Linked DNA regions of Oryctolagus cuniculus. The protein of the gene in region 1 purifies or fractionates together with the protein of each later gene. This does not show direct contact. Links are inferred from orthologs where the notes say so. Each region holds a gene or a part of one and is shown in the gene's direction. Other genes may lie near its edges.

Region 1 (3,500 bases):
TTCTTTCCCTTTTACCCCCAAGAAATCAAATCCCCAACCTTGTTGTACTTTGTTAGCGGCTAACCAGCTCACTCATTTTCACTCATGCTCCATTTCTTTTTCTGTTGTCATGTAGGATGGAGGAACCAGGGGACGCCGCTGTGCCATTGAAGCAGATATGAAGATGAAAAAGTAAAGCCTGAAAGTATCCTCTTTGAGCTGACTCTGAAATAGAAGTAAACAAGATAAAGCTTGGGCTTGCAGGCCCAGTTCCAGAAGTGGAAGTTACAGAAGAGGAGTGCCTGGGCCACATGACATAAGCTGGGAAAATCTCTCTCAGAGAGTTGAAGTAGCACAATTGTCTGTTTTAGGGCAAAAATCATGGGCTGTGTTAATGTCCTAATGTGTAGCTAACAGATTGTAGCTAGTTTGTACTGTCTGTGAAGTGTACAGATTTTTTTAAAATAAACCTGTGAAGTGTATGTGTATACAATAAATGTAAAAGAAAAAATGCTAGCCTTTGGTGTGTGCTTTTTGTGTGTATATTTGAAAATTTTGTTTCTTCCTACATTATTTGTGAAAATATTATTAGAGGATAAAGTGACTTTATAATGTGAATTGCCTACTTAATTGAGAGACGGTGAGTAAACAGGATTGAATTTATAATTACTGTTTTGAGATATTGTTCAACAATAACTTAGTTATTCAGCTTTTGAATGAGAAAACAAGTTTTTTAGAGTTGAATTCATAGCACTTTTAAAAGAAGATTCAAGCATGCTACATGGGTAGCATTAACCTTTCTTTCAGGAAAATTTGTCCTACTTCAGACTATCTGTAGATCATACCTTTTTTTTTATTTTTATTTTTTAGGGGCTTATCTGTGTCTTAAGAGCCCCTGATTTATTTTTTATTTTTTATTTTTTTATTTTTTTTTTTTGACAGGCAGAGTGAACAGTGAGAGAGAGAGACAGAGAGAAAGGTCTTCCTTTGCCATTGGTTCACCCTCCAATGGCCGCCGCGGCTGGCGCACTGCGCTGATCCGATGGCAGGAGCCAGGTGCTTCTGGTCTCCCATGGGGTGCAGGGCCCAAGCACTTGGGCCATCCTCCACTGCACTCCCTGTGGGTAGGGCTCTTGTGAATAGAATTCTTTATATTGCTGTTGGAAGGCTAATCTCAGTTTAAGAATTAACAAATTTAGGCACTGAGTTCTATTCCAATTTTTGTTAACAACAAAAACTTTAGCTCATTAGTGATAATGAACTAATTATGAGCCTTTTTATTGTATAGAGATATTAATGGGGTGTTATCTAGACTCTGCATTGTTGAGAAAGTTTTAAGAAGATCATGATAATATTTTTTGGCCTTCAAAAGGAATTACAGCAGTTGTCAGGAAGTAGGAAATAATAGTCCTATTGTGGTGATGGAAAGAAATCAACCCAACAGTTAGAAAATGAAGTACCTATAATATTCGGTTGCCAAAGCTATCCACAAACAGGCATGTGATAAAAACACTGAAGCAATAAAAATTGCAGGTTTGTGGGGAAAGTCCATTAAAGGACATAGGTATTGCTTTAGAAAAGGGATGGATGTGCTTTGCAAGATGAGTTAATAGTGTTGCACATCCATGGTAGGAGCAATGAGATAAGAGAACAGTGATCATACTAAGGAATAGTGAGATATAACACCAGTCAAGAGGATAAAGTAGGACTAATTATGGAGGACTTTTAGTGGTAGACTAAGAACATGTTTGAGATGAAAGCTGTTCTTAAGCCTTGACACTTGGCAGAGAGCAGGTTGAAGTAAAGATTGTTTAACTCTTAAGGAGCCTGACATTTCCCCAGAAACAAAGGATGATGACAGAAAATTGTGAAAAAATTGCTGACTTTAAGAATAATTTTGAGTTGCGTAGACTAAGAAAATAGTGTTGGTGATAGGGATAAAGAAATTGAGAGCAAATTAGGAAGAATATTGATTTTAGTTATAAAAATGCTGAGTTGAAGCAGATAGTAGGATTTCAAAAGAGAATTTGCTTTCAGATGCGTGGAGAAATGAGATCAGAATGTATAAAAGGTTGAGAGATTTGATAGAGTACAAAGTTGAAACAGTATGCATATATGTGTACATTGTGTGTATACACAATGACAAGAAACAGGAAATCATCTTCATAGAGGTCAAAGTTGAAACTTAAAAAATGCTTTATTTTTTAGAGGAAGTGTTAAGGAAGCTGGACTATGCAAGGAAATAGAAGACCAAAGTTTATTGAAAGTCAAAAGGGATTGGAGAAAGTTGTAAGAGAATCAGAATAGGGTAGTTAAGAAAGCAAGGGAAGGTATTTTTGAAACTTGAGGATCTCGTTTTGAGAAGTGATAGTGGATTTGACGATAAGGATGCCAAAGGTAATATCAAAGTGTATTTTCAGTATGTAATGGTAAACAGCTTAAAAAAACAAGGAAAGTATCCCGTGTTCCTTTTAAGTTTATTGCCTTGCAACTGAGTTTATGGGTGATTGGGGGATAGAGGAAGTCTGTTAAGCTAGCTATGCTCTAGCTCTTTCCCTTTTGGAGTATAAGGAAATAATAGTTATTGGGTAATACATTGTACTGCACTGTACAGTATAACATCTTTATTTTATTAAAATGGGACTTCTTTATTCCTAAAGATCATGTCATCTCCCAGCATTTTTCTTCTGCTATGTTTTATACTTCTTGATGAGACATTTCTGATATTTATCTTTCTACTGAACTTAGGAGATTGAGGTCCCTGGGAATATGAATTGGAATGATTTTAATGCTCTTTTTTTTCTGTGTATTTACAGATGGGGCATGAGTGGGTTTGGTTGGATTCTGTACAAGACTATCCCAGTGACTCTGAGTTGAGCAACTACTACAGGTCCCTCTTCAGCTCATGGGACTCCAGTCTGGATCTTGATGTGGGCAGCTGGAGGGAAACTGAGGATCCAGGGGCTGAGGAACTAGAAGAAAGCAGCCCAAGGAGAGAACCTAGTGAGCTGCTTGCAGGGGATGAAGGCAGTGAGGAATCTCAGAGAGAGGCAGAGCAAGTGAACCGCCAGAACCTCCTCCACTTTCTTTCTGAGGTAATGGTGAGCTGCTACTTCCAAAGCTGGGAGAACCTCCACTTTCTAAGAGAATGTTTACCCTCACATGTTTCTAATGCTCTTAATATTGTTTACTAAAATAGGAGACTCACATTGACAGAAATGATTTAATATTGTATCCCTGGCACTTGGTGCTGATACAGAGTATGCACCAAGTGCATTCTTTAAAAATATATTTATTTATTTATTTGAAACGCAAAATGACAGGAAGGGAGAGAGAGATCTTCCATCCACTGGTCCACTCATGTTCTCAACAGCCAGGTCTGAGCCAGGCAGAAGCCTGGAACCAGGAACTCCATTCAGGTCCGACATGGGTGACAAGAGTCCAAATACTTAGGCCACCTGCTGCTGCTTTCCTCCATATGCATTAGCAGGAAAATGGATTGGAAGTAGGGCAGCTAGAAC
Region 2 (4,051 bases), on another chromosome or scaffold:
CCCCGAATCCATTCATTCTCTCAAACACGATCCAAAGAGGCAACAGAGATTTCTCTTCAGTTGGGCTTCATCCCAGAGAGAGTATTATCTAAATCGGAGAAGGCATTAATATTGGTTTCTGAGTGAAGCCTCACTGGCGACAAGGTTAACTATTACATTGAGTTTCACAGCTTTTTATCGCCATCTTATCAATTTAGTTGGAGATCTGATGAACTCTTGCTATTGATGACATCACAAGGACTCCTCAGTTCCAAGGAGAATAATGAAAAGATAGACTAGAATTTATATCCCAGAAACAGGAATGTCCTTTGATCCCCCCCCCAAAAAAAAACAAAAAACTTTCAAATTGAAACCTTGAAACCTAAAGTTAGAATGTATGTTTCAAATACTTCAAGTTGCAACTGTTCAGTTGTTGAACATGTAACATTATATTCCCAAACAGCTGGAGATGTGCACAGGTGTTATTAATCTATTAGTTGGAAGACTAAGTAGCTGGCATTATTATAGCACTGTGTGTACAGTACTATTTTTTAAGCCCACCATTTGCAATTGATTACATGGACCATCTGTAACTGCCTGTGAATCACGTTAGTTACCCCACTGACATTTACCGAACATTTGTCACGCAGCGAAATATTTAGTGTAGAAAAGTTGACACATAATAGCTCTGAGATTTCACTAAATCAACTCTAGACACCGGCCTGTGGGTACAACCCACCGACCTGTAGACACCAGAAAAATACGGTTTGACTAAAGAAATACCAGCTCACGCCAAGCTCCCCACGCGTGAACAAAAAGGTCTTTTGTGCCCAGCGAGGTAACTCGGCTCCGCCGACTGTTGTCACAGAACCACCTCGTGTGTGTGCGTGCGTGTGTGCGGGGGTGTCTTCATAAAGTGGTGGGGGAAAGAGGAGGAGAGGACTCCGCTGAAATTCAAGTGGGATCCGCCGGCGGCTGGGAACCAGCTCAGAGGGAGGAAACGGCCGAGTCCTGGCCGACCCGGTCGCGCCACCTGTCAGACGAGCGCAGCCGCCAGGGGCTGGGAGGGCGGCAGGCGAATGGGTGCCCGGGGCCCCGGAAGAAGGCTGCAGGGGAGCCGATTCCGGGCGGCGAGAACCCAGGCGGTGCTGTTAGGGGTGGGGGCCGCGCTAGACCCCGAGGAGACTTCACGTGGCCTCTGCAATCCCGCTAAGGGACCGGCGGGGGGCGCTGTCCCACGCCCCTCCCCTGAGCCTCTCAGCTCCTCCTCCCAGACACGTGACTGAGCCTGCTGGTTTCTTCGCTCGCGCTGCGCACCTCGTTCTGTTTCTTCCCTCCCGCTGCTATGCCCTTCTTCTCCCCCGTTCCCATCCCTCCGCCCTCCCCCACCTCCTCCCCACGCGCCAACCGCGGCTCGAGCTTGGAAGCGCCCGCCTCTCCGCCCTGTTCTTCGTTTTCTCATTGGCTGAGGCCTCAAGGACGCGTCCCGAGGGCGGGCGGCAGCCATTGGTGGGATGAGCAATCCGAGTTCCCGGATGAGGGAACATTCTGCAGTATAAAGGCAGCGGGGAAGGCGGGAGACAGCGCAGTTTGAATCGCGGTGCGACGGAGGAGTAGGTGGTGGGATCGCGCTGTGTGTCAGACTAGCCCTTTCTCTGCCTTGCTTGTTTGAGCTTCCGCAGAATTCGAAATGGTAAAGTTCGCAGGGGCGCTCGGTAACTCCGCGGGATTTTGCCGGCGGGAGAGAAACCCGCTACCCACGGGGATGAGGGTGAAGTGGCGACGGTTGGGGACGTGCGGAGACGGGATTTACACGAGCGGGGGGGAGGTGGCGTGTCGGCTGCGAGCGGAGCAGCCTCGGCTGTCGCGGCGGGCGGCGACGGTTGGGTGGCGCGCGCGGCGCCTCTGGGGGCCGGCGGGCGGGCGGGCGGAGGCGCGCGGCCGCGGCGGGCGCGCGGCGGGGGCCGGCGGGCGGGGTCGCCCCTGCGGCGCGTGGCGGGCCGGAGACCCCGGCGGGGCGCGGGGACGCGCCGCGGTGGGGGAGGGGCGCGCCGCCCTGGTAATTCTATATTCTCCGATCCTCCTCCGCTCGCGGGCGTGTGCGCGCCGCAGGCTGGCGGTAAGGCTGGGAAGGACTCCGGAAAGGCCAAGACAAAGGCGGTTTCCCGCTCGCAGAGAGCCGGCTTGCAGGTCAGTAGTTGTTCGTGCAGTCTGCGAACCGTGGCGTTTTTCTTTGCACACCCCCTCCCACCCCCCTTTCTTGTTTATCATCGCCCTAGATGGGCGTTTCGTCTTCGCGTTGGGGATGCGGTGTCGCGACTTGGGGGCTGCCCACACGATAAATAAGGTTGGGGGGGGCGGCGATCACGTGTGTGGATGCTAGGGTGCCTGGCTGCACCAGCGTCCGGGCCCCTTGCGTTGGCGCGCGTGCGATCCCGCCAGCCCTGGCTCCCTGTCTTTATGCGTTTCTTGTTTGTGTGTGCTTAAGTTCCCGGTGGGCCGCATTCACCGACACCTGAAATCTAGGACGACCAGCCACGGACGTGTGGGCGCGACTGCCGCCGTGTACAGCGCTGCCATCCTGGAGTACCTCACCGCAGAGGTAACTGAGCGGACGCCTATCATCGAGGCAGGGCTGGGGGGGGGGGCGGGGGAGGCGGCCGGAGGGAAGGAGGAAAGTGATGCAAGAAGACTCCAGGCCCGAGACGCGGCGAGAAGCCCGGGAGGACGCTAGAGGGAGCCGGTGTCCAGGAAGGGAGCCTCCTGAGCCGGAGGAGTTGGCTGCTCCTGGCAGTAATTGCGTGTCCCCTGGATAGGGGGGAACACCTGGCAGATTCCTGTTCCTTAAGCTTTGATTCTGCCCTTGCACCTTGGTCAAAGGCGATTGATGAGCGTCTGCCTTGTAGGTACTTGAACTGGCAGGAAATGCATCAAAAGATTTAAAGGTAAAGCGCATTACCCCTCGTCATTTGCAACTTGCTATTCGTGGAGATGAAGAATTGGACTCGCTCATCAAGGCTACAATTGCTGGTGGTGGTATGTAATAAAGTTGGTTTTCTTCCTTATTCGGAGGACAGAAACCCTTGGCTTCTAACTCCTATTAGATTTTAGTCTAGCAGAGGGCATTTGAGAATGTTTTCATTGATGCAGTATGGCTGGGTCATGAAATTTGGTTTATGTAAACAACTCAATGGGTTTTTGGTATTTTGAGCTTCACATTTTTTTGAAAGATCTTGCACGTTGAAGCGTAAAATGCCTTGGTTTCAAAGTACTGTGTGGTTTTGAAAGTACTTACATTAAAAGTAGAATTTATCTGTCACTCTCCTAGGTGTCATTCCACACATCCACAAGTCTCTGATTGGGAAGAAAGGACAACAGAAGACTGTCTAAAGGATGCCTGGATTCCTTGTTATCTCAGGACTCTAAATACTCTAACAACTGTCCAGTGTTGGTGATTCCAGTGGACTGTATCTCTGTGAAAAACACAATTTTGCCTTTTTGTAATTCTATTTGAGCAAGTTGGAAGTTTAATTAGCTTTCCAACCAACCAAATTTCTGCATTCAAGTCTTAACCATATTTAAGTGTTACTGTGGCTTCAAAGAAGCTATTGATTCTGAAGTAGTGGGTTTTGATTGAGTTGACTGTTTTTAAAAAACTGTTTGGATTTTAATTGTGATGCAGAAGTTATAGTAACAAACATTTGGTTTTGTACAGACATTATTTCCACTTAGGTGGATAAGCTCAATAAAGGTCATCTCCCAAACTAGTTGTGTTTTAAATTTGCTTGCTTGTAATGGAAACTTGTTTTGACTGTGGTCCAGCAGTAACTAGGCACATTTCTTCTGTAGAAATTAAACTGTTAACCTGTAGATCGACAAAGGTCAGATACCGGGTACAAGGTAGTGTTACACCATAATGTGCTATGAATTTCTCAGAAGTTCTGCAGGAGCTGGAGATGGTTAGGGTTTCCTGGGACCAGGGACCAAGTGAGCTGAGCGTTCACCCTGGCTGTGCCGCAGTGACAGCACTGCTCTGGCGCGCGGCCGCCTTGGTGGGCTTGCACCTGCACAG
Region 3 (4,213 bases), on another chromosome or scaffold:
TGGCTCTTTCTCACTGTCTTTTGTTCTCTCTCTTTTCATTCTTTTCCCTTTCCCTCCGGTCTGTGGGGTTTACCCCACCAATAAACCCTTTGCCTTACTCCGGTGTTTGGTGTTTTGTGGCGGCCTCTCTGTAACTCTGCCTCTCAAATAAAGAAAAATAAATCTTAAAAAAAAAGGAAAAAAAAAAAAGATGTGCAGGCTTCACCAGCAGTGAGAACTATTTAGAGGGACAGAATGGAAAGGGGCGTTCATGCACATCTACATCCAATGTCTTCAGCATGGATGCCACAAAGGTTGTGTGTCCCGTCTCCAGATTCCTGCTTTCAAAAGTCAGGGGTAAAATGGTTCCTCATGTGGACAGCCGGAAGTCAGGGGAAAAGTCCAAGATTTCGCTTATTTTGGAGATCGGACATAAGGGCGGAAAATGTCTTTGTTGCTGTTTTGTTTTTCCTTCCTGTGTGCACTCTGAAATGGCAGCCGCGCAGCGTGGACTTCTGCTTGCCAGCTGGGAGTTGCATGAATGCAGGGGACATGATGGCATCCCCTTCGGCACCTGTTAGGTGCCAGTGAACACTGGAGAAGCAGATCTGTAAAAATGATTTCAAACGGAGAGGCAGCTGCGCCAGTCTTCCAGTCTGCAATTTTTAGCCGCGGTGCTCCGGGCCGGGGCACTCTGCAGACCGCCCGAGCTACGCCGGACCCGGAAGGCGCTTTCACTTCCAGGTACCCCGGCTGCCGGGGGTGGGCTCCGTGGTCCTGGGAGCCTCACGTGCGCCGTGCGGACCGACACTGCCCGCTAAAGGGACGCAAGCCTCTGCGGCTAGGAGAGGTCCCTCGGCGAGGGCGGTCGCGGTGCCCGTGCCGTCACACCACCCCACACCTGCCATCACCACCTCCACGGTTCCCGAGGGTCCGCGTGGGCAGCCAGAGCTGCGCCCCCTGGTCTGCCGCGGCAGGTTACGCCCCAGGGCGCAAAGCGGCGCGACTCCAGCATCCAGGAGACAAAGTAAAACCAATTGCACCAAAGAGAGGCAGCGCTATTTATGCGGCCGGCTTTTCCCCCAGGGCCTCCACCCTGTCCCCCGGGCCCGGCGCCCAGAGCGCAGACGGTGCCCGGCTCCGGAGCCCCAGCTCCCTCCACGTGTCCTGTCTTCCCAGCAGCCTCCTCTGCCGCCTCGGGAGGAAAACCTCCTGACAACTCGCGGTCTGCGGACTACGTCTCCCAGAAGGCGCCGCGCCGCCTCTCTCTCCGCCCTCCTCCGCGGGACACGCAGGCGCCCTGAGCTCCGTCCGCAAGCCGGCCTGGCGTCGACGGGCTGCAGTGCTTCCTGGGATTTGTAGTTCTTTGGGCTCTCGCCGGGCCGTCAGTCCCAAGGACGAGAACTACAAGACTCGGCTGCCCCAGCGTGCCGAGTCCGATCACGTGGCAGGGGGCCGACCGGGCGTGCGTGCCGCCGTTGATCCGGTGCTGCAGTGAGGAGGTGGTTCTCGCCCGTGTTGTGTGTGTGTGCGTGTGTGGGGGTGTGTGTGTGTGAGTGAGTGAGAGAGCGAGTGAGTGAGTGAGTGAGTGTGTGTGTGGGGGCACTTGGCTGCTTGTTGTCGGTGACTTCCCCCTCCCCTCCACCCTTCCCCCTTCCCGCCGCCGCCGCTGCAGTGGCCGCTCCCTGGGCCGTAGGAAATGAGCGATAACGATGACATCGAGGTGGAGAGCGACGTGAGTCCCGGGGCTTCTTCCTTCCCGTGCGGGTTGTCAGGCGGGGACAGCGGCCAGGGCTCTCAGCGGGGCGACGGCGGGAGGGGGCCGGGCCGCAGCCGCCGCCTCCTCCTCCTCCTCCTCCTCCTCCTCCCCCCCTTTCCCCTCCCCGGCCGGGACCGCCTCGGTCGCGCTCCCGGCTCGCTCCCCTCGGGGCTGCCGGGCTGGAGGTGGGGGAGAGGACACGCGGCCTCTGGGACCCCCGGCCCGTTCTCCTGCCGCCACCCTAGCCAGCTGAGGCTCCGTGGGACAGGGCTGGGGTGCGACCGGGATCTCATTGTCCGGATCCTGGGGTCGGCGATCCCCTCCTCCCGGGACCCGCGGATCCTGGGGGGTGCGGGGGGTGCGGCAGAGCGGAGAGGGGTTGGGAGTGTCCCGGCGGCCCGAGCTGGGTCCGAGGGGAGGAGACGGTGCTCGGGAACCCCTCTGGCCCGGGTCGGATCCCGGAAAGAGGGGCGGCGCTCGGGACCCCCTGCCCGGCTACTGGATCCCGCTGGGGGAGGGTGGGGGCGTGGGGCGGGGAGGGAGGGGTGAAGGGCTGACTCCCCCCCCCCCACCCGCCGCTTCCTCCGCCGCCGGCATTTTCTTTCTTATTATTGAGTGTGAAGTGTAAAAATAACTTCTATATTTTCTATTTTTTTTTTCTCTCTTATTCCAGGAAGAGCAACCGAGGTTTCAATCTGCGGTACGTCTCCTACTCTCCATTTCGTTTTCATTTCCGTTCAGTTCTAGTCCTTTCTGGGGTCAGAGAGAACCAGAGATTGTTCTAATACTTTTAATAATGTAGTAAACCCTCCTGTTGCCCGCTAAGGTGAGGTGGGGCCTGAATCCGGGGTGCCGGGGGGTGGGGAGGGAGAGCTGCGAATCCCATAATTCCAGATTCTCAGGTGACTGAGTGCTGAGTGAAGCCAAGACGTGGAATGGCCTGTAGTTTCCACACGGGCTTGCAGCTCCTGCCGTGCGAGTGGGGAATGAGGACAGCCTTTGGAGGCAGATAGTGGCTGGCGTCGCTCCAGGGCCAAGGAGCTGGGAGGCTGAGTTAGGCAGCAGGCGGTGTTGAACCCTAGCCACATAGCTGGGTCCGGCTGAAGCCACATGCAGTAATGGCCCCTAACCGGGAGTCATGGGGCTGGCAGGCCGAGGTGTTGTAGCACCAACGGCAGACCAGCCGGGGCGGGCGGGCGGGCCGTGGCACCAGCCTGACCTGCGGCTCCTTGTGGGCGGCCCCTGTCCCAGTTGAAGGAGAGGGGGATAGAGAATGGTGAGAGCGGCTGAAGACAGCGCTGGGGAAAGGTGATGGAGGCGGTCACCGGTGTTCTCGCGGTGGCTCCCACGTTCTGATGCCAGTGTGCTCGGGCGTGCTCCTGTGCACTCCCACTCGGAGCTCTTGTCTTTGGAGCCGTGCTGCGGGCGTGTGTGGCTAGATCAGAGAAAGCAGAGGAGAGATGCGGAGTAAATCCGCACTGGAGCGGGCAAGAAGAGCGAAGCGTGGCAGAGGCTGTGCTGGTCGTCAGCTAGGAGCCGGGAGCTGTGGGGTGCCCCAGGCAGTGGGGAGCTGAGAGTCCAGGGGAGGGAAGAGGTGGGGCCTGGGCTCCTGGGGGACACAGGCCTCCCAAAGAGGCAGGCGCTCCTCCGCCCCAGTGGGTGGGTATGTGGGAGGAGCACCCGCTGTTGCCAGATCTTCCTGTTGTGAAGGAAATAGTGGAAATCCACAACTTGTATATGACTTTTGTGATTTTCAAAAGAATGTGTGGACCAGCTGTGTGCAGGCTTGGTAGAGTTTGCAGGATGCCGCGGTAGACCCCTGGTGTAGGAATTTAGTAACCACAAAGGCAAGCTCTCTGCATTGTCCCTGTGCGTCATCAGAGCACGCCAAGGTGGCACGGGTTGTCCAAGAGAGACCATTAGGAAAGCTGGCCTGAGAGCTGATGTTTCCACTGAACTCCCAGCGTGCACTTGCTCCTGGCCAGCAGTCGTGAATATTTGCTGTGCTTTATTTCTCTTTGAAGTCATGATGCACACTCGTATTCACCCATGGATGTGAAAATTGAATTCCCTCTTCCCGTTGCTGTTGTCCTCACTAATGTGGCAGCGGAGCCCAGTGTGCCTGCAGCATTGTTTGCCGACCTCTGGCTCAGGGCTGGACCGGGGTTGGTCAGTCAGGTGTCAGTCGCTGCAGAATCCGCCCTGTGCATTTGCATTCCGATGGCTTCCCGGTGAGAGGAAGGTTCTTTTGTGCATGAAATTTTGGCTCACGGTTTTTGGAAGCTTCCTGCTTTTCCAAATGTTCATCCCCGTGGATTCATGTAAATTTGTTGATTAGATTATTAGAGTAGTTCCTCTCCTAGAGGGCGACTCTCATTGTTTTGTCCAGATGTTTTCAGTTTGCTGTTAAGGTGCCTACTTCCCCCCCGTTGATTTTGGGGAGAAGGCAAGGGAAGCAGTTTTGACCCTGTGGTA

Evidence for each region.
Region 2: the proteins of BRD8 (region 1) and H2AZ1 purify together in Homo sapiens (affinity purification with mass spectrometry; 4 studies listed by BioGRID and IntAct, with this or other methods). This does not show direct contact. The link is inferred for Oryctolagus cuniculus from reciprocal best matches to the Homo sapiens genes BRD8 and H2AZ1.
Region 3: the proteins of BRD8 (region 1) and MAX purify together in Homo sapiens (affinity purification with mass spectrometry; 3 studies listed by BioGRID, with this or other methods). This does not show direct contact. The link is inferred for Oryctolagus cuniculus from reciprocal best matches to the Homo sapiens genes BRD8 and MAX.

What each region holds. Positions count from the first base shown.
Region 1 is NC_091437.1:25,969,058-25,972,557, reverse strand, and holds part of BRD8 (bromodomain-containing protein 8), read left to right. Parts: intron 1-115; coding exon of another isoform or gene 116-175; exon of another isoform or gene 176-495; intron 496-2,795; coding exon 2,796-3,074; intron 3,075-3,500. UniProt on the Homo sapiens protein: May act as a coactivator during transcriptional activation by hormone-activated nuclear receptors (NR). Isoform 2 stimulates transcriptional activation by AR/DHTR, ESR1/NR3A1, RXRA/NR2B1 and THRB/ERBA2.
Region 2 is NC_091439.1:65,413,196-65,417,246, forward strand, and holds H2AZ1 (histone H2A.Z), read left to right. Parts: upstream 1-1,251; 5' UTR 1,252-1,669; coding exon 1,670-1,672; intron 1,673-2,091; coding exon 2,092-2,169; intron 2,170-2,467; coding exon 2,468-2,581; intron 2,582-2,885; coding exon 2,886-3,015; intron 3,016-3,307; coding exon 3,308-3,369; 3' UTR 3,370-3,743; downstream 3,744-4,051. UniProt on the Homo sapiens protein: Variant histone H2A which replaces conventional H2A in a subset of nucleosomes. Nucleosomes wrap and compact DNA into chromatin, limiting DNA accessibility to the cellular machineries which require DNA as a template.
Region 3 is NC_091451.1:11,144,873-11,149,085, reverse strand, and holds the start of MAX (protein max), read left to right. Parts: upstream 1-1,413; 5' UTR 1,414-1,678; coding exon 1,679-1,714; intron 1,715-2,411; coding exon 2,412-2,438; intron 2,439-4,213. UniProt on the Homo sapiens protein: Transcription regulator. Forms a sequence-specific DNA-binding protein complex with MYC or MAD which recognizes the core sequence 5'-CAC[GA]TG-3'. The MYC:MAX complex is a transcriptional activator, whereas the MAD:MAX complex is a repressor.